Macaca fascicularis: one gene and its partners. The protein of the gene in region 1 interacts with the protein of each later gene in a biochemical or structural test. Links are inferred from orthologs where the notes say so. Each region holds a gene or a part of one and is shown in the gene's direction. Other genes may lie near its edges. The genes, in order: histone H2B type 1-B, UBR7 and USP51.

Evidence for each region.
Region 2: of the proteins of histone H2B type 1-B (region 1) and UBR7, one has a biochemical effect on the other in vitro, tested with the Homo sapiens proteins (2 studies listed by BioGRID, with this or other methods). The link is inferred for Macaca fascicularis from reciprocal best matches to the Homo sapiens genes H2BC3 and UBR7.
Region 3: the proteins of histone H2B type 1-B (region 1) and USP51 form a complex in vitro, tested with the Homo sapiens proteins (2 studies listed by BioGRID, with this or other methods). The link is inferred for Macaca fascicularis from reciprocal best matches to the Homo sapiens genes H2BC3 and USP51.

What each region holds. Positions count from the first base shown.
Region 1 is NC_088378.1:146,882,868-146,890,924, forward strand, and holds the start of histone H2B type 1-B, read left to right. Parts: upstream 1-3,239; 5' UTR 3,240-3,292; coding exon 3,293-3,669; intron 3,670-8,057. Other genes in the region: histone H3.1, read right to left, coding at 1,144-1,554. UniProt on the Homo sapiens protein: Core component of nucleosome. Nucleosomes wrap and compact DNA into chromatin, limiting DNA accessibility to the cellular machineries which require DNA as a template.
Region 2 is NC_088381.1:161,213,198-161,221,154, forward strand, and holds part of UBR7 (putative E3 ubiquitin-protein ligase UBR7), read left to right. Parts: intron 1-604; coding exon 605-700; intron 701-3,773; coding exon 3,774-3,827; intron 3,828-4,024; coding exon 4,025-4,130; intron 4,131-7,645; coding exon 7,646-7,854; intron 7,855-7,957. UniProt on the Homo sapiens protein: E3 ubiquitin-protein ligase which is a component of the N-end rule pathway. Recognizes and binds to proteins bearing specific N-terminal residues that are destabilizing according to the N-end rule, leading to their ubiquitination and subsequent degradation.
Region 3 is NC_088395.1:55,605,122-55,613,178, forward strand, and holds USP51 (ubiquitin carboxyl-terminal hydrolase 51), read left to right. Parts: upstream 1-3,727; 5' UTR 3,728-3,786; exon of another isoform or gene 3,787-4,313; 5' UTR 4,314-4,488; coding exon 4,489-6,756; 3' UTR 6,757-7,003; downstream 7,004-8,057.

The sequences.
Region 1 (8,057 bases):
TTATGACATCTAAGTATTCAAAACACCTTCCCAGCACTGAGTGAGTGTCTAGTGGAGAGTAGAAATGTATAGAGCCAGAAGCTAGTCTGGAAAGAATTCTTACAAAGTTTACAACTTACATGTGAAAGGAACTTGACAGAGGATTTTCCAAATTTGAAAACAATCCTAAAAACTTACTTGACATTACCAACAATGTGTTTTGAAACTGAAACTCTTCTAAGTTATCAAGAAAACATATTATCAATAGCCACCCTGGAAGAAAGATTGGATTCTATTTCCATTACCTATAGACAATATTACAAAATAATTTCGATCTGAAGATGGAGAGTATTCAGTCAAAACTATACGAAAATATACATCGTTGTGTCATATTCAGAAATTAATACAATTTGCTATTTTCTAAATTTTGTGATGGCTATTGTTTTGTCAGCTTTTATAAAATTGGAGTTTGATTTTATTTTCCCATTATAAATTAATATTTACAGTTTGCAGTACATTTGCATTTTTAATTTTACATTAAATATTTATTAAAAGAGGACATGGGTAAAAGAGCTTTGCAGTTGCTACCCTTCTCAAATCTCCTGGATTTTAAGGATGACTGCATAATCTTTAGATGATCATACGCAAGTCATATGTATTTGTTGCATAAATTTAGTGGACTTCTGGCTGTGTGTACTGAGGCCAGTTTTTTCCACCTGAGCTCTGACTCCAGTTCCAATAGCCCAATACCAATACTGATTTTTGGGGTATTAATGTTTTTGTGAACTTTGGGTAACTATACGCACATTGTCCTTACGATAGCTTTAATAAAAATGCCATCAGACCTAAAATTGGCAGGTGGATTAAAAGAAGTTTCACCAGAAGCCTGTTTCGAAATGTTAAGTATACACATATACATGTTAAAAAGACAAGATCCCTAGGATTTAACAAGGGCAAAAAAGTCACTCAACTGGCTTTCTTGCAGTAAAACCGCCCCAAAAGAAAAGGCCTGATGTACTCGTCTGCAGTTATTCAAAGCGTGTGTACTTATCTTTAAAATCCTCTACATCTCCTGGGAACTACCGAATTGGTTACAACTGTTTTTAAGTGAAATTGTAAGTGGCTCTGAAAAGAGCCTTTTCAATTAGGAAGCAATAAGCAGACTTATGCCCTTTCCCCACGGATGCGACGTGCCAGTTGTATGTCTTTGGGCATGATGGTGACGCGTTTGGCGTGAATAGCGCACAGATTAGTGTCTTCGAAGAGCCCCACCAGGTAGGCCTCGCAAGCCTCCTGCAGCGCCATCACCGCAGAGCTCTGGAAGCGCAGGTCGGTTTTGAAGTCCTGCGCGATTTCTCGCACCAGGCGCTGGAACGGCAGCTTCCGGATCAGCAGTTCGGTGGACTTCTGGTAACGGCGAATTTCGCGCAAAGCCACGGTACCGGGCCGGTAGCGGTGAGGCTTTTTCACCCCACCTGTGGCCGGAGCGCTCTTACGCGCCGCTTTAGTAGCGAGCTGCTTCCGCGGCGCTTTGCCGCCGGTGGACTTGCGAGCTGTTTGCTTTGTACGAGCCATCTGCAATGACCCCCACACACAAAAGCGTACTGAACTGAGAGCAACCGGTCTTTAAATATAGTTAGAAACATTCTGATTGGTTCTGTAATATTTCAAAAGTCCCGCGCGATAAAACCATTGGCTGAAGAGTGACCAGCCTGATTGGTTCATTACTAGGCAATCTTATTGGATGAATCGCCCCACCGCCCATCATGTCCTTTTTGTTTGTTATCTGCAGGGATAAATTGTCTAAAATTCTAGTTCATCCAGTCCCAAAGAACAAGGTACATAACAAAGCATCTACGGATTTTTTTAATGTAAATTCCGATTCAGTAAGTTTGCGTGGGACTTGAAATTCTGCATTCCTGACAGTCTTGAAAGTTATCAGTGCTGGTGAACACTCACTAAACCACCAGAAACGTTGACTGCCTCATGTCGGAAACTACTTACATTCAGAGAATGAGAATTCCATGCTATTTTGTTACTGGTCAACAGCCAGTTTCCTTATCCTTCGTTTTCTAAGTCCAAGTCACATTCCCACCCTGACTGTTCTCAAACTGTCTTATTTTGGTTGGCTTTAGTTTCACTTTGTATACTCTAAAATGTAGTTTCTTAAAGAAGATATTTCCTCGAAACTTAATTTTTAAACACCATTAGGCTAGGGGGGCCGTGGCTCACGCCTGTAATCCCAGCATTTTGGGAGGGCAAGATGGGAGGATCACTTGAGGCCAGGAGTTCAAGACAACCCTAGCTAAAATGGTGAAAACCCCGTCTCGAATAAAAATACAAAAATTGGCTAGGCGTGGTAGCAGACGCCTGTAATCCCAGGTACAAAGGAGGCTGAGGCATGAGAACCTGGTGAAGCCGCGGGGTGGAGGTTGCAGTGAGCCGATATCGCGCGGCGGCATTCCAGCTTGGGTGACAGAGCGAAACTCTGTCTCAAACCAATCCAAACCAAAACCAAAAGGTACCCGAAACACAAGCAAGTTACCATCCTTTCTTGTGAAACAATGGACGGTTCTGAAAAATGCCGTAGCAAGTTTAAGGTACGTTTTCTGGCTTGAGTGGGCTTTACTTGCTTTTGGCCTTATCGTGGTTCTCGGTTATTTTTGCAACAGGACGGCCTGAATATTGGCCAGGACGCCTCCCTGAGTAATAGTGACTTTGCCCAGCAGCTTGTTGAGCTGCTCGTCGTTGCGGAAGGCCAGCTGCAAGTGGCGGGGGATGCTATGGGTCTTGTCACGTATGGCGCTGCGTGTCAGCTCCAGGATATCGGCGGCCAGGTATTCTAAGTACAGCGGCGCGCCGGCTTCGACAGGCTCAGAATAATTGCCCTTTCGAAAAAGACGATGGACCCTGCGCTACTAGAAACTGCAAGGCTGGTACCGATGAACAACTTTGTGCTTTACTTCCGTTTTCCATGTCCAAACACAGCGACCTCTGAAAACTGTAAAAAACAAGCAAGATGGAATGGCGCCTGAAGAAATACTTTTATACAAACTGCAAGGCTGCAATAGAGAGTTATCCTATTGGTCAATTATGTTTCCTGCTTTATCCAATAGAAAAAGAGTCCATAAATTCCATATTTGCATAAACCCCACCCCTCAGTGAAACTGTATTTCTTTTATCCAATCAGAAGTGAGGAATCTTAAACCGTCATTTGAATCTCAGGACTATAAATACGTGGGCTCTGAACTGTTCTCTCTACTACTCTGCTGGAGAGTGTTAGTAGCTTTTTTGTTTTGTTTTAGGAATAGCGATGCCTGAACCCTCTAAGTCTGCTCCTGCCCCTAAAAAGGGCTCTAAGAAGGCCATCACTAAGGCGCAGAAGAAGGATGGTAAGAAGCGTAAGCGCAGCCGAAAGGAGAGCTATTCCATCTATGTGTACAAGGTTCTGAAGCAGGTCCACCCCGACACCGGCATCTCCTCCAAGGCCATGGGGATCATGAACTCCTTTGTCAATGACATCTTCGAGCGCATCGCGGGCGAAGCTTCCCGCCTGGCGCACTACAACAAGCGCTCGACCATCACCTCCAGGGAGATCCAGACGGCTGTGCGCCTGCTGCTGCCCGGGGAACTGGCTAAGCATGCTGTGTCCGAGGGCACCAAGGCTGTTACCAAGTACACTAGCTCCAAGTAAGTGCTTATGTAAGCACCTCCAAACCCAAAGGCTCTTTTCAGAGCCACCTACTTTGTCGCAAAGAGAGCTATAACCACAATTTCTTAAGGTGGTGCTGCCTCTGTTCTGCTTCAGTTCTAGAGGATCAACTAGAATGTTAGCGAAGGCAACTTTTAGAGCCAAGGTTAACTTGGGGCAGCGCGCCGTGGCTGTCGCCTTTAATCCCAGCATTTTGGGAGGCCGAGGCGGGCGGATCACTTGACGTCAGGAGTTCGAGACTAGCCCGGCCAACATGGTCTCTATTAAAAATACAAACGTTAGGAGGGTGCTGGCGCTCTTTCTCATCTGCCTTTAGCAAACTTCTTTGTTCCCCCTGGGTAAGCCTTCGGGTACTAGTTGTAATTCATTTGATATGGTCACTACTCCCTCCCTGGTCTAGCACAGGAAACTTTCCTTTCTGGATAATGAAACAAGTAATGCAATTCAGGGTACAGTGTTTCTATGGGGGTCATTAGCCGTTAACCGCTTGAGATGAGGGGGAGGGGAGCAGAAAAGTCTAAGCGACAAAAGGGCGTGTAGGGATATTTGCTCCTGCAGTTTGCCTATGCTGTAAATTCTTACCTCCAGTAAGAAGGAAAGATTTCCTCCAGTATTGAGGAAACAGTAAGCGAAGTCTGATTTCCCGGGCGCCTTTGTAGGGAATATTTCCCGTTCCACAAAATGAAATCGCAGTAGTTTTGCGTTATAATTGTTTATCAATGACAACAGCTATGTAGTTTACATATTTCATGCATCCCAGAAATCCAGATTCCCATTTCCTAGGCCACTTAAAATTCGGATTTCCAGCTCTGCGAGATACAAAAGGGTTTGAATTTTGTGCCTTTCCCCAACTGGCCCTACTGCAAAGATACTAGGAAGGCCCCACTTGGAGAGGGAAGCATTTTTCAAGAAATCCGGGACGCCAAAAACAATATAGCTAGAAAAAGGCAGGAAGGGTACTAGTTGAGGAGGACTTAATGGGCCAATTCTTGGTCTGGGGCTGGGGGAAGAAATGGAAGAAGAAAAGAACCTGTTGATTGCACACTAAGTAGGAGGGGATGGGGGAATCGGAGGGGAGTATTTTAAGTGAACTTACGGGCATTATATGTAGGTGACATTCAGCAGTGTCTTCGGATGAAGAAATAAAGTTTCTCAAACAGTTATTGTTTCTGTTTTGAGAAATGGTCTTGCTCTGTTGGCCAGGTGCCATCATAGCTCACTGCAGCCTCGACTTCTCCAGCTCAAGCTATCCTCTAACTTCAGCCCCTTGAGTACCTGGGACTACAGAAATGCGCCACCACACCCAGTTAATTTTTTAATTTTTTGTGGAGGCAAAGGGTCTTACTATCTTGCCCAGGCTGGTCAAGTGAACTCCTGGGCTCAAGTGATCCTCCCGCCTTGGCCTCCCAAAGTGCTGAGATCGTAGGAATGAGTCACCGCGCCCGGCCCAGATTTAATTTTTAAGAATATTTTAAAAGAGGTTCTGGGCCGGGTGTGGTGCAGCTCACGCCTGTAATACCAGCACTTTGGGAGGCCAAGGTGGGAGGATCACTTGAGCCTAGGAGCTCAAGACCAGTCTGGGCAACTTAGTGAGTCTGTCTCCACCAAAAATTTAAAAATTAACCAGGCCTGGTGGCACATTTCTGTAGTCCCAACTACTGGGGAGGTTGAAGTGGGAGGATCATTTGAGCCTGGAAGGTGGAGGTTGCAGTAAGCTGTGATGACACCACTGCACTCCAGCCTGGGTGAGGACAGACCCTGTCTCAAAAATAAAAAAAAAATCTGGATGCCACACAAAATGTCAGTGAACAACTGTAAGTGAAGCACTTCCCATCCTAGTACTGTATATGCAAACTACCGTTGTGAAAGAGACGCTTGTGTTTTAAAAAATCTATAATTTTTTTTAAAATTATAAAACGACCACCTCCCCCAAAACATTACTAAGCAATTGAGGCTGCAGTTTAAGAAACTGATATTTAGGATCTTTCCCCGGAGAAGTGAGACCTGCTAATATAAGCATTTGCAAAATGAACTTTTGGGCCAGGTGCATCATGCCTGTAATCTCAGCACTTTGGGAGACTTAGTCAGGCAGACCACTTGAGCTCACAATTCGAGACCAGCCTGGGCAACATGGCGAAATCCAGTCTCTACAAAAAATTAGCTGGGCGTTGTGGCATATGCCTATAGTTCCAGTTACTAGAGAGGCTGAGGTGGGAGGATTACTTGAGCCTGGGAGGTAGAGGTTGCAGCAAGCCAAGATCGCGCCGTGACAACCTGAGTGACAGAATGAGACACACCCCCCCAAAAAAACAGCCTGACTCATTAAAAAAAAAATTTAAAAATATTAAGTTTTGAAGCAGATATTATTTTGTCATATGTTCTTTCATAAATTTTTTGCCTGCCTGCTTTCTTCCTTTGTTACAGAACTCCAACACTTATCCAAAGGTAGCTGTAGGGTCAGGGTTTCTGTATTATAGTCCCTTCTGTGGTGGCCAGAAATATGTTACAGGAAAGAGGTCCCCATCCAGACCCCAAGAGAGGGTTCTTGGATCCCGCGCAAGAAAGACTTCAGGGTGAGTCCGCAGTGCAAAGTAAATGCAAGTTTACTAAGAAAGTAAAGTGGTGAAAGGACAGCTACTCCATAGACAGAGCAGGACATTCCGGAAAGTAAGAGGAGGAAGGCATCCACCCTGTAGGTACAATGCTTGTATATATGGGGAGATGTGCTCTGCTACACGGGTTTGTGATAAAGGATTGATTTTTTTAGTTACTATATTTTGCAAGAATAGACATTATTATCTTTAAACAAAATTAGGAATGCCTTTGTTCTCCAGATATAGGGATATCTGGACACTCCCAGGTCTGAGTCTGTTTAGTAAACATTATTTATTTGTTCCCTTAACCATAAACATCTAGAAGCTAGGAATGATTGACTTTCTGGGAATGCAGCCCAGCAAGTCTCAGCCTCATTTTCCTAGTCCACACTCAAAATGGAGTCACTTTGGTTCAAATGACTCTGACACTTTTCTTCTCCTTTTTCCTTCTTTCTTTCCTTCCTTTTTTTTAAAAATAAGAAATCAAGAATACTTGATGTTTTATCTAAAACAATACCCATAACTGACAAGCCAATACAAAAACCTAGGTCTTCTAACTCAAAACTAGGATGTTTTGCTGTCTCTGTTGATAGTCTGCTGATCGTTAATAGATAATTAACAAACAAGCCTTCCTATGTCCCCTCAGTTTATTACCATTAGATCATATGCCTACTGTCAATCGTATTAATCCACAACTATGCATTTCACTAAACTTACCATAAAAATACACAGGTTTCCTGCTTCCATCGAGTTTTCATTTCTGAAGGGTCGCATGTAACATAAAAGTTATATTAAATACATTTGTATGCTTTTCTCTTGCTAATCTTTTTTTTTTTTTTTTTGAGACTGAGTCTTTCTCTGTCAACCAGGCTGGAGTGCAACGGTGAGATCTCAGCTCACCGCAACCTCCGCCTCCAGAGTTCAAGCAATTATCCTGCCTCAGCCTCCCCAGTAACTGGGGCTACAGGCATGCACCACCACACCCGGCTAATTTTGTATTTTTATTAAAGACAAGGTTTCTCCATGTTGGTCAGACTGATCTCGAACTCCTGACCTCAGGTGATCTGCCCGCCTTGGCGTCCCAAAGTGCTGGGATTACAGGCATGAGCCACTGCGTCTGGCCACATTTCTAAGTTCTTTGCAAGTATAAATTCATTCAATCTTCACCAAAACTCAAGAAGTGTGAGTACTATTATTACCATTGTTTTACAAATTACGACAAGTAATGCAGCCACTTACTGAGTTCTATACACTTGGTAATTTTTTTGTTTTGTTGTTCTATCAATTATTGGGGGAGGGGTGTTGAAATCTCTACCTTTAAATCATGTATGTGTCTGTTTCTCCTTTTGGTTCTATCAGTTTTTGCTACACATATTTTGCAGTTCTGTTATTTGGTGCATATACATTTAGAATTGCTTGTTTTTCATATTGGATTGATCCTGTTATCATTATGTAATATCCCTGTCTGTTCCTAGTAATTTTCTTTGCTCTGAAATATACTTATCTGATATATCATCCAAAAGACCACCAGGATGGCTAAATAGTAGAAAGAGAGATTTACTGGCAATACTAATTTGCAAGCCAGGAAAAGATTGTCCCAGAACCTGCCAAAATTACTCTGTCTTTGAGGAGAAGGAGCAGGTTGGTTATTTTTATGCCTCATGGGATATATATCACACAATAGAGTCATACATATTCAGCAGGTTTGGGGGGACAGCTATATATATTATGAGGGATGCCAAGTGCATTCACAATGGATAAACACATGTGTA
Region 2 (7,957 bases), on another chromosome or scaffold:
CATGAGAATCGCTTGAACCCAGGAGGCGGAGGTTTCTGTTACCCAAGATTGTGCCACCGCACTCCAGCCTGGGAGACAGAGCGAGACTCCATCTCAAAAAAAAAAAAAAAAAAAAGAAAAGAAAAAGAAAAACCAATAAATAAGGCCGGGCGTGGTGACTCACACGTGTAATCCCAACACTTTGGGAGGCCTACGTGGGAGAATGGCTTGAACCCAGACCAGCCTGGGCATCGTAGTGAGACCCCATCTCTATCAAAAAGGAAAAAGAAGTACCTTGAAATTCCAGGCCAATGTCAGTTCACATAGATTGATAATTAATATTTATGATTAACTTTTATCTCCACTTTACTGAATAGGTGTATTTAATTTCTCCTAATTACCACCAAAAAAAACAAAAACAAACACAAAATTTTATTTTTTCCCTGTATCCTGAAAAAAGTATCCCTTTAGTAGTAGTGAGGTTTTTTTTTCCTACTTTGAAAGTTAAAGATCAGCCTCTTGGGGGAAATAATGTGGAAATGTATTGAATGTATTAATTTTATAATGTGTGAAATTATAGTTAAAATTAGACCATATTATTATTGAAATCAATATTATATTTCAGGACAAAGCAAAGGTAAATTCTGGCAATAAGTACAATGACAACTTTTTTGGATTGTACTGCATTTGCAAGAGACCTTATCCTGATCCTGAAGACGAGGTAAGAGAATTGGAAGTTAAACCTGGGAGTGTGTCCCCTCTAGCCTTGATTCCTCAACTGCTTGTCATATCTGAGCCTCTGGCTCTTCGGGAGGCAGTGCGGGATGGTGAAAGGGTTCTAGATTTATCTTTTCTTATGAATCTGGGTCGGATCTATAATTGGTACACATCTCAACCGTTCTTTCCATTTTTACATCATAAGAATGAAATATTGCACTTTGGGAGGCTGAGACGGGCGGATCACGAGGTCAAGAGATCGAGACCATCCTGGCTAACACAGTGAAACCCCGTCTCTACTAAAAAAATACAAAAACTAGCCGGGCAAGGTGGCGGGCGCCTGTAGTCCCAGCTACTCGGGAGGCTGAGGCAGGAGAATGGTGTAAACCCGGGAGTCGGAGCTTGCAGTGAGCTGAGATCCGGCCACTGCACTCCAGCCTGGGCTACAGAGCGAGACTCCGTCTCAAAAAAAAGAAAAAAAAAAAAAAAAAAAGAATGAAATATTGGAGAGGACTTTCCCAAAGCCAGAGCTTCTTCCCTTCCTCTCCTTCCCTGACTGCCTCCCCCTGCCCCCTAACACTTTCTAAGAAATGACCTTCAATTTCTTCTGTCTCTCTACGGAAAGAAATGGGGTATACAAACAGCATCCTCTTAAAAATGTCGGCCGGGCGCCGTGGCTCAAGCCTGTAATCCCAGCACTTTGGGAGGCCGAGGCGGGCGGATCACAAGGTCAGGGGATCGAGACCACAGTGAAACCCCGTCTCTACTAAAAATACAAAAAATTAGCCGGGTGCGGTGGCGGGCGCCTGTAGTCCCAGCTACTCGGGAGGCTGAGGCAGGAGAATGGCGGGAACCCGGGAGGCGGAGCTTGCAGTGAGCCGAGATCGCGCCACTGCACTCCAGCCTGGGCAACAGCGTGAGACTCCGTCTCAAAAAAAAAAAAAAAAAAAAAAAAAAAAAATGTCAATGAGAAATATATGCCAAATTCAAAACGAGTTCTTCCTCACTCCTGCACCTCTTACCTCCCAAGCCTAACCACTGTTAACACTTTTGGTGTGTGTATTTTTAGGTCTTTTTCTGTGCACATTAAAGTGTTTTGAGTGAATGTGTTTCAATGTGTAATTTCCTTTCCATTAACCGAAGTGAAAATTCTGTACACTCACTTCTGCAGCTGGTTTTTCTCACCAGTATATCATAGACATTCTTTCATGTCAGCAAACACACTTACCCCATTCTAACTGCTGCAGAGTATCCTATAACTTCATATGCCATAAGTTAGTCAACCGAATTGTTCTTCTACAGCAGAATGGCATTATCTAATTTTTCAATATTATAAAGAAAGCTAGAGTGAACATCCTTATACAGTAATACAACTGAGTATACTCCAAGTATTTATGTAGAATGGATCAGTAGAATTGACAGATCAAAGTGTATTTGTGGTGTTTAAAATTGTGATTGGCCGGGCACTGTGGCTCATGCCTGTAGTCCTGGCTACTCGGGAGGCTGAAACACAAGAATCACTTGAACCCATGGGGCAGAGGTTGCAGTGAGCCGGGATTGCGGCACTGCACTTCAGCCTGGGTGACGGAGCGAGACTCTGTCTCAAAAAATAATAATCATAATAAATAATAAAATTGTGATCATATCTGCCAAAAAAGTTGAACCAGCAACAGTATATGATAATGTTTTTTCCCCAACACTTTTGTCAACCCTGAATATTACCAGTTCTTGGAAATTTTGCCATTTTGATAAATGAAGAATAGTATCTTAAATTTTTTTTCTTTCCCTGATGATAAGTGAGATTATGCATCTTTTCATGAGTTCGTTGGACATCCGTAATAACCTTCCCTCTGAATTGTCCTTTCATATCCTCAGCCCATGTTTTGATTGGTTTGGGTTTTGTTTGGGTATTTACTGATTTGAAAGAGTACTTTTTGTCTTTAGAGATATTAGCCTTCTGCCTTCTTCCTTGTTTTCTAATTGCGTTCGAACTATAATTATTAAACCAAATTATGTACAGGGACAGATTGAAGTTCTCTGAGTTAGCAAAAATAAAATCTTAAAACTGAAATTTTTTTTCTTTCTTTTTTTTAAGACGGAGTCTCGCTCTGTCACCCAGGCTGGAGTACAGTAGCGTGATCTCGGCTCACTGCATCCTCTGCCTCCTGGGTTCAAGCGATTCTCCTGCCTCAGCCTCCTGAGTAGCTGGGATTACGGGCACCTGCCACCATGCCTGGCTGATTTTTGTATTTTTAGTAGAGACAGGGTTTCACCACGTTGGCCAGGCTGGTCTCAACCTCCTGACCTCAGGCGATCCGCCCACCTTGGCCTCCCAAAGTGCTGGGATTACAGGCGTGAGCCACCGTGCCTGGCCAAAACTGGATATTTTAAGGCATGTAGTAAAGTGTTACAGCTCCTTCTGTTCCACAATATGTGCTTTTTTTTTCCCTTTAAGAAGCCTACAATAGGAAAAGGACAGAACAACATTGGGATGTTAATTAACAGTTATGAGAGCCTGGGAATAAAAGAAAGTCATCTCCCAAATAGTCTATGTTCTTTGGTATATTATTTTCCTAGGGCCAGCATTTAATTATTTAATTTATTCAAATTAGAGGAGTTATCTATCAAGAGGGTTTTCCTGACATTTACTTTTCAGTGTACTTGGCAGGATGGTTTTTCTGCAGCAGAAAAGCATTGTCTAATTTTTCAATATCATAAAGAAGGCTGGAGTGACCATCCTATACAGTAATACAACTGAGTATTGTATTAAAGGATGGTGTGGTAAAAAGTCCCAGTTGTCACTGTCTGCATCGGTCCATTCACATTACTTGCCTGGGCCTGAGTTTTGTATAAAATGGGAATGCCCTCCTTGTCTACACCGTTTTGTGAGAATCAGATATTAAGTAACTGATGTGAAAGAGCTTTGAGATTGTTTGTAGAGGGCTTATCTCAATGTAAGCCTTTGGAACACCAGTTCATGTGGAACGAATATTTAGTATCTTATTCTACTGCGTGCCAGGTTACTTCCATGTTCCCGAATTCAGTGTACTCCTTAACAAACTGCTTTTCTCTGCTAGATTCCAGATGAGATGATCCAGTGTGTGGTCTGTGAAGATTGGTTCCATGGAAGGGTAAGGAAAATGTTCTACCTTTTGAAACCATTGTCATCACAAAGAGATAAAGGTTATATTTTACATTATAATTACTCTTCTAAAAATAAATTTTAGTGATATGATCAGTGTATTATTACAGTATTTATTTGTAAAATAATGGGCATTTTGGACAGTGTGGCAATCACAAGAAAATTTTTGGTGTTCTGTATTCACAGCATCTTGGTGCCATTCCCCCCGAGAGTGGGGATTTTCAAGAGATGGTATGCCAGGCCTGCATGAAACGTTGTTCCTTTTTGTGGGCTTATGCTGCGCAATTGGCAGGTAGGTATCTTTGTGAAGTTGCTGTGCCATAAACTTGTGCTTGTGAAATTTGTGTGTTCAATTCAGAATTTTTAGCAACTATTTTTAACTCTGTGGTTATAAAATAGTATATGTTCTGGCCAGGCACGATGGCTCACTAATCCCAGGACTTTGGGAGGCCAAGACAGGTGCATTACCTGAGGTCAGGAGTTTGAGACCAGCCTGGCCAACATGGCGAAACCCCGTCTCTATTAAAAATGCAAAAATTAACCGGGCATCATGGCACGTGCCTGTAATCCCAGCTACTCAGGAGGCTGAGGCAGGAGAATCGCTCGAACCCAGGAGGCAGAGGTTGCAGTGAGCTGAGATCATGCCACTGCACTCCAGCCTGGGCAACAGAACGAGACTCCATCTCAAAAACAAAAAAACCAAAAAATAGTATGTGTTCTTTCTCCGCAAGGTGCATAGATTGGTTGGGACACTACCAAAAACAAATTTATACTTAAATGATATGATGCAGAATATTGATGAGACCAGAGTTAGAGAAAATGGAGGAGGCAGTTTTCAAATGGATTTTGAAAGATACATAGAACTGAAATAAGTTGTTAATTATAACACATGGTATCGGTTGGCGAGGGGGTGGTGTCTTAGTCTATCTGGGGTGCTAGAACAAAATACTTTAGGCTGGGTAATTTATAAACAATAGACGGATATTTCTCACAGTTCTGGAGGCTGGGAAGTCCAAAATTCAGGTGCCTGCAGAGTCAGTGGTTTGGTTGAGTGCCCATTCCTCACAGATGGAGCCTTTTATGTGTCCGTACCTGTTAAAAGGGGCAAACAAGCTCGCTTGGGCCTGTTTCATAAGTCCGAGCCCTCATGAATGGGATTAGTGCCCTTATAAAAGTGGACTGCAGGCACACGCTACCACGCCCTGCTAATTTTGTATTTTCTGTGGAGACAGTGTTTCGCCATGTTGCCCAGGCTGGTCTTGAACCCCTGAGCTCAAGTGATCCACTCATCTTGGCTTCCCAGAGTGCTGGGATTACAGGCATGAGCCACCATGCCCAGCCTATCTGGTGCTTTTATTATACACTAAGAAATTAAAACAACTAATTAATGAATGGTCCTGAGGCATTAAATGTCTTACTGGTAATGCTTTATGTGTTTCTTAATATATTTTTAAGGTGGCAGTTAAACTCGTAGTATCTGCTGCTTTGGCTTCATAATTTCTTGCCCTTCTCATCTTTAGAGATCAGTTCACTGTACAAACCATGAGCAGCATAGCTGTACCTCCAGTCTCATGTTTTTCTGTCTTTTTTTTTTTTTTTTTTTTTTGAGACAACGTCTGGCTGTGTTATCCACGCTGGAGTGCAGGGGTGCTATCTCGGCTCACTGCAACCTCGCCCCCTGGGTTCAAGCGATTCTTGTGATGTGGCTTCCAGAGTAGCTAGGACTACAGGCACATGCCACCACACCTGGCAAATTTTTGTATTTTTAGTGGAGTCAAGGCTTTACTGTGTTGGCCAGGCTAGTCTCAAACTCCTGATGTCAAGTGATCCACCCATCTCGGTCTCCCAAAGTGCTGGGATTATAGGCGTGCGCCACCACGCCTGGCCAGTTTGCCTCAGAGTTCTTAAGTGCTGCTCCCTTTCTGTTCATACCCTTTCCAGTGATCTCTCTCACTGTCCACAAATACTGAACCTATCTATGTATAGTTCTTACTCGTTGGGTTTTTTTTTTTAAGACGGAGTCTTGCTCTGTTGCCCAGGCTGGAGTGCAGTAGCACAATCTCGGCTCACCGTAACCTATGCCTCCTGGGTTCAGGCAATTCTCCTGCCTCAGCCTCCCAAGTAGCTGGGATTACAGGCATGCGCCAGCATGCGTAGCTAATTCTTCTGTTTTTAGTAGAGAAGGGGTTTCACCATGTTGGCCAGGCTGGTCTTGAACTCCTGACCTCAGGTGATCCACCTGTCTTGGCCTCCCAAAGTGCTGGGATTACAGGTGTGAGCCACCATACCCAGCTTAATTGGGTTTTTTAAATTGATCTCCTGCCTCTCCCTTCATTTCCTCTCCCGTCAGCAGATGGCTTCATCTCCTATTACATTGAAATGCTGGCATCCAATGTGAGCTCCCCTATCGTTTCTCTTCTCTGTCTCAGAGTATATGTGCTGCTACACCCATCATTTTTTTATTTCTTCCTCCCATAAAGAAAAGCTGTTTTTAAAAAAGTACCCTTCTGTCTGTGTTTACAGTTCAATCTCTTCCTCCTACTTCTTGTATTATTCTGTCTCTAACAAGTACAGTACATTATTTTCTCCTTTATGTGTAAAGTGCTTAAGCAGTGATTGATATTTTCAAATAAACTGTTCAATTATTTGAATTCTTTGGGTTAGACAGACATAACCTAAAGAAGCATTAGTATTTTCTTTCTCAGTATTTCGGAGACTATGGTGGACTAATCTCTTTTTCCAGATTCTGAAATATTTTAAAACCAGAAAAAGCGATTTTAGGTCAGATGTGGTGGCTCATGCCTGTAATCCCAGCACTTAGGGAGGCCGAGGCGGGCGGATCACCTGAGGTCAGGAGTTTGAGACCAGCCTGACCAACATGGAGAAACCCCGTCTCTACTAAAAATAAAAAATAGCCAGGCATGGTGGCGCATGCTTGTAATCCCAGCTACTCAGGGGGCTGAGGCAGGAGAATTGCCTGAACCCAGGAGGTGGAGGTTGCAGTGAGCCAAGATTGCGTCATTGCACTCCAGCCTGGGCAACAAGAGCAAAACTCCATCTTAAAAAAAAAAAAAAAAAAAAAGCAAAAGCTATTGTATGCCTGACGTGGTGGCTCACACCTGTAATCGCAGCACTTTGCAAGGTTGAGGCAGGCAGATCACTTGACATCAGGGGTTCGAGACCAGCCTGGCCAACATGGCGAAACCGTGTCTCTACTAAAAATACAAAAAATTAGCCAGTCATAGTGGCACGCACCTGTAGTCCCAGCTACTCGGGTGTCTGAGGCATGAGAATTGCTTGAACCTGGGAGACAGAGGTTGCAGTGAGTCAAGACCATGCCACTGCACTCTAGCATGGGTGACAGAGTGAGAATCTGTCTGTAAAAAAAAAAATAACAGGCCGGGCGCGGTGGCTCAGGCCTGTAATCCCAGGACTTTGGGAGGCCGAGACGGGCGGATCACGAGGTCAGGAGATCGAGACCATCCTGGCTAATGCGGTGAAACCCCGTCTCTACTAAAAAATACAAAAAACTAGCCGGGCGAGGTGGCGGCGCCTGTAGTCCCAGCTACTCGGGAGGCTGAGGCAGGAGAATGGCGTAAACCCGGGAGGCGGAGCTTGCAGTGAGTTGAGATCCGGCCACTGTACTCCAACCTGGGCGACAGAGCAAGACTCCGTCTCAAAAAAAAAATAATAATAATAATAATAATAATAGAATAAGTGATTGCATTGTCTGTTGGGATTTTATTGTCTGTTAGGTCAGTGGATATGTGTGTATGTGTTTTTCTTTTTTTTTCTTTGAACCCACAGTAACCAAAATATCCACTGAGGATGATGGATTGGTGCGGAACATTGATGGAATAGGTGATCAGGAAGTTATTAAAGCTGAAAATGGAGAGCATCAAGATAGTACCCTCAAAGAGGATGTTCCAGAACAGGGAAAGGATGATGTCCAGGAGGTTAAAGCAGAGCAGAACAGTGAACCATGTGCTAGCTCTAGTTCTGAATCTGATCTCCAGGTAATATGTGAAGTACAAGCCATCAAGAAATAAGACTGGGCCAGGTGCAGTGGCTCGTGCCCATAATCCCAGCACTTTGGGAGGCCAAGGCAGGCAGATCACC
Region 3 (8,057 bases), on another chromosome or scaffold:
TAAAAAAAAAAATCTCCTCATATCACAATATCTTTCTAAGAGTACAAAATGTCATCTCCATACTATGCATTTTTATAATCCCATGTATTTAGTTATATATATTTATGTTAAATATACCATTGTCTTAAGGGATCCACCGGCTGTACCAGGATACCAAAGGGATCCAAGGCACCAAAAGGCTGAGGATCCCTACTCTGAAGGTTAATATTAGGGGTCAACTTGATTGGATTGAATTGAAGGATGCCTAGATAGCTGATAAAGTATTGCTTCTGGGTAAGGGTGTTGTCAGAGGAGACTGACGTTTGAGTCCGTGGACTGGGAGAGGAAGACTCATCCTCAATGTGGTTGGGCACCAACCAGCGCGGGTAAGGCAAGGCAGATGGAAGTAGGTGGGACAAGCTGGCTTGCTGAGTCATCTGGCTTTCATCCTTCTCCCATGCTGGATGCTTCCTTCTGTTCCTCCTGCCCTTGGACATCAGACTCCAGGTTCTTTAGCCTTTGGACTCTTAGACTTACACCAGTGGTTTACATGGGGGCTCTCGGGCCTTGGGACACAGACTGAAGGCTACACTGTTGGCTTCCCTATGTTTGAGGCTTTTGGACTCAGACTGAGTCACTACTGGCTGCTTTCTTCCCCAGCTTTCAGACGGCCTGTCATGGGACTTCGCCTTGTGATCATTTGAGCCAATTCTCCCTGATAAACTCCTTTTCATACATATACATATACATATACATATACATAAACATATACATATACGTGTGTGTGTGTGTGTGTGTGTGTGTATGTAGGATACATATATCCTATTGGTTCTGTCCCTCTGGAGAACCCTGACTAAAACACCTACTCTAGGGGATGTTTTGAAATGAACATCCAAGGGCAAAGGGAAGGCAATGGACTGACAGGCCGGATGTTTTCACATATGTAATCTCATGTGCACAGACAATACAGAGGCTTCTGTGGTTGAAGTGCTGGAGCCTAAAAAAGCAGAAAGTGAAGCTGAGGTTGGACCTACTCAGGGGTAGAGGGAGTTGGAGTAAGTTGGGCAGTTTCCATTTTAACCAAGAGACCACAGGGAGTCACCATGGGTCTGTGGGCAGGAGAGGGCACACTCCAGTGGTGTCTGAGGCTGTTGCTTCAGACACCCGGAGGCAGACCAGCTACGAGCTGGAGCACAGGAAGTAAAGGAACAGAAGAGGGGATCCATCAAGTGAGGGGGCAGGGGCAGGAGGCTGGGCAGACAAACGTGGGCCCCAAAGGACTAGAACCCAGTCCATGGCACCCTCCCTGCAGCCCCAGTCAGGGCAGGTAATGGCTCCAAGTCTGCCCTTTGGGATGCTGGCCTCTGAGAAGCGAGGTCATTGAGGGGAAGAGGCCCAGGTTGGGAGAAAGAAGGCTGTGTGAGGCTTCAGGGGTCCAGTTTTCAAGGTACTGAGTGAGCCACCAGGAGCACAGAGGCAGGCTTTTTCCCAATCCTGCTCTTTCATACACCACCCCACTCCCAAAGGAGCCCGCCAGACTGGCCACAGCTAGAATCTGTAAGAGACGCCAACATAACACAGTCCTGGGAAACCAGCTCCGTCAGACATGGTTCCTGCTACCAAGGCCAGAGTGCATTGACCTGGGCTTCTTTACACATAATCCCACAGCAGTGGTTCTCAAAGTGCCATCTCCATGCCAGCAGCATCCGCATCAGCTGGTACAGCGTTAGAAACCTAAATTATTGGGCCTCCCCAAACTCACTGAACTGGGAACTCTGGGAGTGGGGTCTAGCAGACTGTTAAGTCCACCAGAAGGTTCGATGCCACTTCATTTTGGAGGAACCTGTGAACTCCAGAAAGGCCTAAACCATGCAGACCCATTCATTTTCGTTTTGACAGAAGTGACCCATCACACTGTTCTGAGGTTTTCCTACAGGACAATTGTCAATGAAGAAATCATTTGTTTGGTCACCATAGCGTGTGGGCTGATTTAAAGGTGTGTCTAGCTCAATAACAATTGTTTTCAGAAACTTTTTGAAGCACTGTAACAATCCCACCTCCCAAATGTTAAGTTGTTGATTACGAGTGGTTTTTAGGCCTTTATTAACTAACATTAATCTTCACAGCACATTCCTTTGCATTTCCTGATGTGGATCTCAGGCAGAGACTCTGACTGACTTGCTTTTGTGCCCAGTTTTGTTTGGCTGTATATTCATAGTGCCCAGGGCAGCAGTAGGTGCTGTTTACATATCTGCTGCATAAATGAATCTAGGTAGGGCTGGCATTCTCATGATTCTGATTTTGCACAAAAGAAAGCAAAGGCTCAGAAGACAGAAGTATTTATAAATTGTGCCCTGCCTCTCTGCCTGCATAAAGGGTGCAAGGCTGTCTCAGAGCAGCTGGGATCCACGCCACAGGTGGCGCAGCTAGCAAACGACTGACTCAGCATTTCCTTCTAGCTCTGCGAATGCAGAAGCAACTCTTTGCTTAGCTGTGACTGAGAAAATGCCCTTCCCTAGGGGAAAAGAAACACGTTTTCCTGCACAAGCCAGTCTATAATTCCAAAGCACTTTCCCTCCAGGTGCTGGTAGGTGACTGAGATATGGTCGAATCTAGACCAAGTCATAAAATCACTGATATCCACAGTGCGGACATATCCACTAGATGCCACTGCCAAGTTAAAGAGAGCTGAATCCTAATCGTGAGGTTTTGAGGGGAGATGTGTGACTTTTTCAGAGAGATTAAATGTAGCATTAAACATCCTCTGTAATAAACCGTAATTTTCTTGGGATTGGACAGGAAGGGCAACAAGCCCTGGAGATAGCTTTCCTCCGGGGTTGTCACCTTGGATGCTGGATCTGTCACAGAAAAGGAAAAGTCTCCTGGCCTATGGACTTCAGGACACAAACAGTTGTATCTTGTGCTTCTCACAGCACAATCTAGTGCTATAATGCACCGATGGCATCTTTGTTGAATGCATGCTCCTGTACATGAACCGCCTAGGAGGGATGATAGCGTGAGCTGAGCCATAACTTGGAGAGAGCTTCGAAAGAGAAAGGCATTCTCTTCTCCTCTGCTCTGCATCAGTTGTTCTCTAGGCTGATTTTCAGGTCGGGACTGAAAAAAGAGGTGTGAAAGATAAAGCTTGCCAAAAAGGTCTTTTACTTGATATATACTATGACTTAGTGTTCACATTGGGTTAGGGTTATTATTTCAATTTCTCTTAAAAAATTGACACAACTAAGGCTCAGAGAAGTTAAGTGTTTTATCTGAGGTCACACAGCAAGCATGTGCCTGGGCTCAGGTCTCTCTGAGCCTGAGCCCTTGCTTATGCTTCCTCCCCTGCACATTCTGGGATAATCTCTCTCTCTCTCTCTCTCTCTCTCTCTCTCAACTCCCAGAGACCAGACTCTGACAGGATCCTGAGGGATTTCTGCCAGGGAGTTGCCATCTCTGGAAGCCCCCACCCCCATGCCGGGCGAATCTTTTTTTCTGTGGAGTGCGGGCCTGGAGCTAGGTGAGGCCTGAGCCTCCATTTCAGGGGCTTTCTGTAGAATCTGTTGCTGCTGTTGCCTCCAGTAGAGTCTGTTTCAGGAAGAGGTTTGCCTGCCTGCGCGGGACAGCGGTGCCATTCATCACTGCAGGAGGGCAGAATCCGGGGTTGGGGGCCGCACGTCGAGAGGGGAGGGGCCAGGGGGCGGCCCCCTTGTGACCAGCCCTGAGGAGAGGTCAGGAGAGAAGGCTGGCTGAGGAGCGCCTGGACAGCAGCAGTTGCTGACGTTCTATATCACGCGCCTGGGGCCCAAGGTAACCCAGACCTTTAAACAAACCGCCGGGCTGGGGGCGTTGCGGGGGCAGGAGAGGGAAAAGGGAGCGGGGACTTCGGGGATCGCCCGAGGATGGTGGTGGCCTTAGAGGTGGCAAATGCCTGAAGGGAGGGAGTAGTAATCCGAATTCTAGGAGAAATCGTAGGAATTGAAGTCGCAGAAGCAAGAAAAGGGGTGTGAGAGCACAAGAGCGAAAAAGCGTGAGAGGGCGCAAGAGCTGGGCGGAACGAAAGTGCGCTGAGGGGCAACGGCTTAGAGTGGAACACACCGGGTCACAGAAGTATAGATAAGGTAGGAGCAGAGGGACACTTTCTTCCTCTGAGTTCATTTTCCAAAAGTGCGTCCTTTCAGCCATTTTTGAGAGAAAATGTTGACCCAAGTGTTTTTTAGGATACAGGGAAAGAACGTCAGAGGAAGCTGCACCAAAGCGAGGCTGCGCAGGGCGCAAAAAAGCAGACAGAGGGTGGCGCCTTTTTTAAAGAAGTTTCCATCCTTTCTGTCCTAAAGCTCAGGCCGTTCCCCACCCCCACCGCTCGCTAGCCTTCTGTTCCCAGTCCCCTGGCCCCTGCACGATCTGAGCGTCTTTAAAGCAGGTAACCGCCTCGGTCTCCCCATCAGCTCCAGGGGCCTCTCAGTTGAGTGGGTGGAGCCGGCAGCGGCCGCGGGCTGAGCTCAAGGGCCGATGGGAGGGGTCCTGGGGGCGCTAACTGCGCACTGCGGCCATGACGCTGGGCAGATCATTCACAGAAGTCTGTCTCGTTTCATCTACAGTCGCAGCTCGTTTCCAGACGCCTTGCTTCTCAGGTCGAGCAGTGATCTGATGGCCCAGGTTCCAGAAACTTCTTTGCCCTCCGGCTCTGGGGCCCGCTGGATCTCCGGAGGTGGGGGAGGAGCCTCTCCTGAGGAGGCGGTTGAGAAGGCGGGGAAAATGGAGGCGGCGGCGGGGGCGACGAAGGCGTCTTCGGGACGGGAAGCTGAGGAGATGAAGCTGGAGCCATTACAGGAGCCTAAGCCCGTGCCGGAGGAGAACTTGACGTGGACCAGCAGCGGCGGCGACGAGAAGGTGCTCCCTTCAATCCCCCTTCGCTGTCACAGCAGCTCCTCGCCCGTTTGCCCGCGCCGCAAGCCCCGCCCTCGGCCCCAGCCCCGGGCCCGCTCCCGCAGCCAGCCTGGGCTGTCGGCCCCACCCCCGCCTCCGGCCCGGCCCCCGCCCCCGCCGCCACCCCCGCCCCCATCCGCACCGCGGCCCAGGGCCTGGCGTGGATCCCGGCGCAGATCCCGACCTGGGTCCAGGCCTCAGACACGGAGAAGCTGCTCTGGTGACCTAGACGGGTCGGGGGATCCTGGCGGCTTAGGGGACTGGTTGCTGGAGGTCGACTTTGGTCAGGGTCCCACAGGTTGCTCTCATGTGGAGAGCTTTAAAGTAGGTAAGAACTGGCAGAAGAACCTGAGGCTGATCTACCAGCGTTTCGTTTGGAGTGGGACCCCAGAGACTAGGAAACGTAAAGCAAAGTCATGCATCTGTCATGTATGTAGTACCCATATGAATAGACTCCACTCTTGTCTCTCCTGTGTCTTTTTTGGCTGCTTCACTGAGAAACATATTCACAAACATGCAGAAACAAAGCAGCACCATTTAGCTGTAGACGTTTATCATGGGGTCATATATTGCTTCATGTGTAAGGATTATGTATATGACAAAGACATAGAACAGATTGCCAAAGAAACAAAAGAAAAAATTTTGAGATTAACTTCCACCTCAACAGATGTTTCTCATCAACAGTTTATGACATCAGGGACTGAAGACAAGCAATCAACCTGTGAGACAAAGGAACAGGAGCCAAAATTGGTGAAACCCAAGAAAAAGAGAAGAAAAAAGTCAGTCTATACTGTAGGCCTGAGAGGGCTAATCAATCTTGGGAACACTTGTTTTATGAATTGTATTGTTCAGGCACTTACCCATATTCCTCTACTGAAAGATTTCTTCCTCTCTGACAAGCACAAATGTATAATGACAAGCCCCAGCTTGTGTCTGGTCTGTGAAATGTCTTCGCTTTTTCATGCTATGTACTCTGGGAGCCGAACTCCTCACATTCCCTATAAGTTACTGCATCTGATATGGATCCATGCAGAACATTTAGCAGGGTACAGGCAGCAGGATGCCCATGAGTTCCTTATTGCAATATTAGATGTGCTGCATAGACACAGCAAAGATGATAGTGGTGTGCAGGAGGCCAATAACCCCAACTGCTGTAACTGCATCATAGACCAAATCTTTACAGGTGGCCTGCAATCAGATGTCACATGTCAAGCCTGCCATAGTGTTTCCACCACCATAGACCCATGCTGGGACATCAGTTTGGACTTGCCTGGCTCTTGTGCCACATTCGATTCCCAGAACCCAGAGAGGGCTGATGGCACAGTGAGCAGGGATGACCACATACCAGGAATCCCCTCACTCACAGACTGCCTACAGTGGTTTACAAGGCCAGAGCACCTAGGAAGCAGTGCCAAAATCAAATGCAATAGTTGCCAAAGCTACCAGGAGTCTACTAAACAGCTTACAATGAAAAAATTACCCATTGTGGCTTGTTTTCATCTCAAGCGGTTTGAGCATGTAGGCAAACAGAGGCGAAAGATTAATACCTTTATCTCCTTTCCCTTGGAGCTGGACATGACTCCGTTTTTGGCCTCCACTAAAGAGAGCAGAATGAAAGAAGGCCAGCCACCAGCAGATTGTGTGCCCAATGAGAATAAGTATTCCTTGTTTGCAGTGATTAATCACCATGGAACTTTGGAAAGTGGCCACTATACCAGCTTTATCCGGCAACAAAAGGACCAGTGGTTCAGCTGTGATGATGCCATCATCACCAAGGCTACCATTGAGGACTTACTTTACAGTGAAGGGTATTTACTCTTCTATCACAAACAGGGTCTAGAGAAAGACTAGTCTTACCAGACCACTTACTGAAAAAAAGTAAATGATTAGGCAAGGATTTTGAAGTGACACACAGACCTACTTGGAATGGACAATAACACCTATATGACAGCTAGTATCTTGATGTAAAGAACCTATTTTAGCATGGCCCATGGGTCTGTAGGAAGAAAAAAAATGAATACTAACCAGTGACCATTCAACCTTAAGAAATGGGGAGAGGGAGAAGAGGTTGAAAATGGTCACATAAAACATAATGAAATGAAAAGAATGCTTTAGGTGGGGACAATGGGAGTACAGGTGTTCTGATGCTACTATGTCATTTGTTTCTACAGAAATATCTTGTGAAGTCAGGGAGTATTCCTTTATCAGCAAAAACTTCACAATTGGTGTTCCAGCTGTGGCTGACCAGCCAAATAGTTTGAAAGAAAAATGATATTTTAAAATAAAGTTTAAAAAGCTTTAAAAGAAAAACATTTAAAAAGGAAAAATCATTTTTAAGGTTTTAAAAGAAAAAAAAATTTAAATGTTGAAAAAAATTTAAGTTGATATTTTTTAAATAAATATTTTAAAAGTTAAAAATAATTTTTTAATTTAAAGAAGTTTCAGAATTTTAAAAATTAAAAGCAAATTAAATTCTTAAAGTTTAAAAATGTAAAATAAGGAACAAGGTTAAAAATGAAAGTTTACCAAAAAAAGGAAGAAAATACTGTTAAAAATTAAAGTTAGAAACAAAAGAACATCTTAAAAGTTTCAAATGAAGGAAAATAATATAAATAGATATTTCAAAATTAAAGCATAAAATATACATATTTAAAAAGTGTTAACAAAATTACTACTATAATGATTAAGAAATAAATTTTCAAAAATACAGAATGGAATGCAATTCAATTTTAGAGAAGTTTTAAAAGAGGAAAGTTTAGAATAATTCAATACAAAAAGACAAAATTTGTTTAAAGACAAAAATTGAAAAAATATAGGAAGAAAATAGAGACTTGTGAAATAAAAAGAACCTTAGATAAGTTCAATTCAAGAGATTTAAATGAAAACTTTAAATATTTAAATAAAGATTTAAAAATTTAAACTTACAAAAAGTTACATAAAAATTGACAAATGAAAAAATGTAAAAGATTCAAGTAGAAAAAAATTATTAAAATTAAAAGTTTAAGAAGTTCTATTTTTTTATTTAAGCATATTAAAATACAGACGGGTATGAAAGAAATGGAGGAGACAGGAATAACAAGACAGCGGAGTGTGAGTATATATATTTTTTGAACTTTATGTTGATATATCAATATACTTTGCAAAAGGAAATA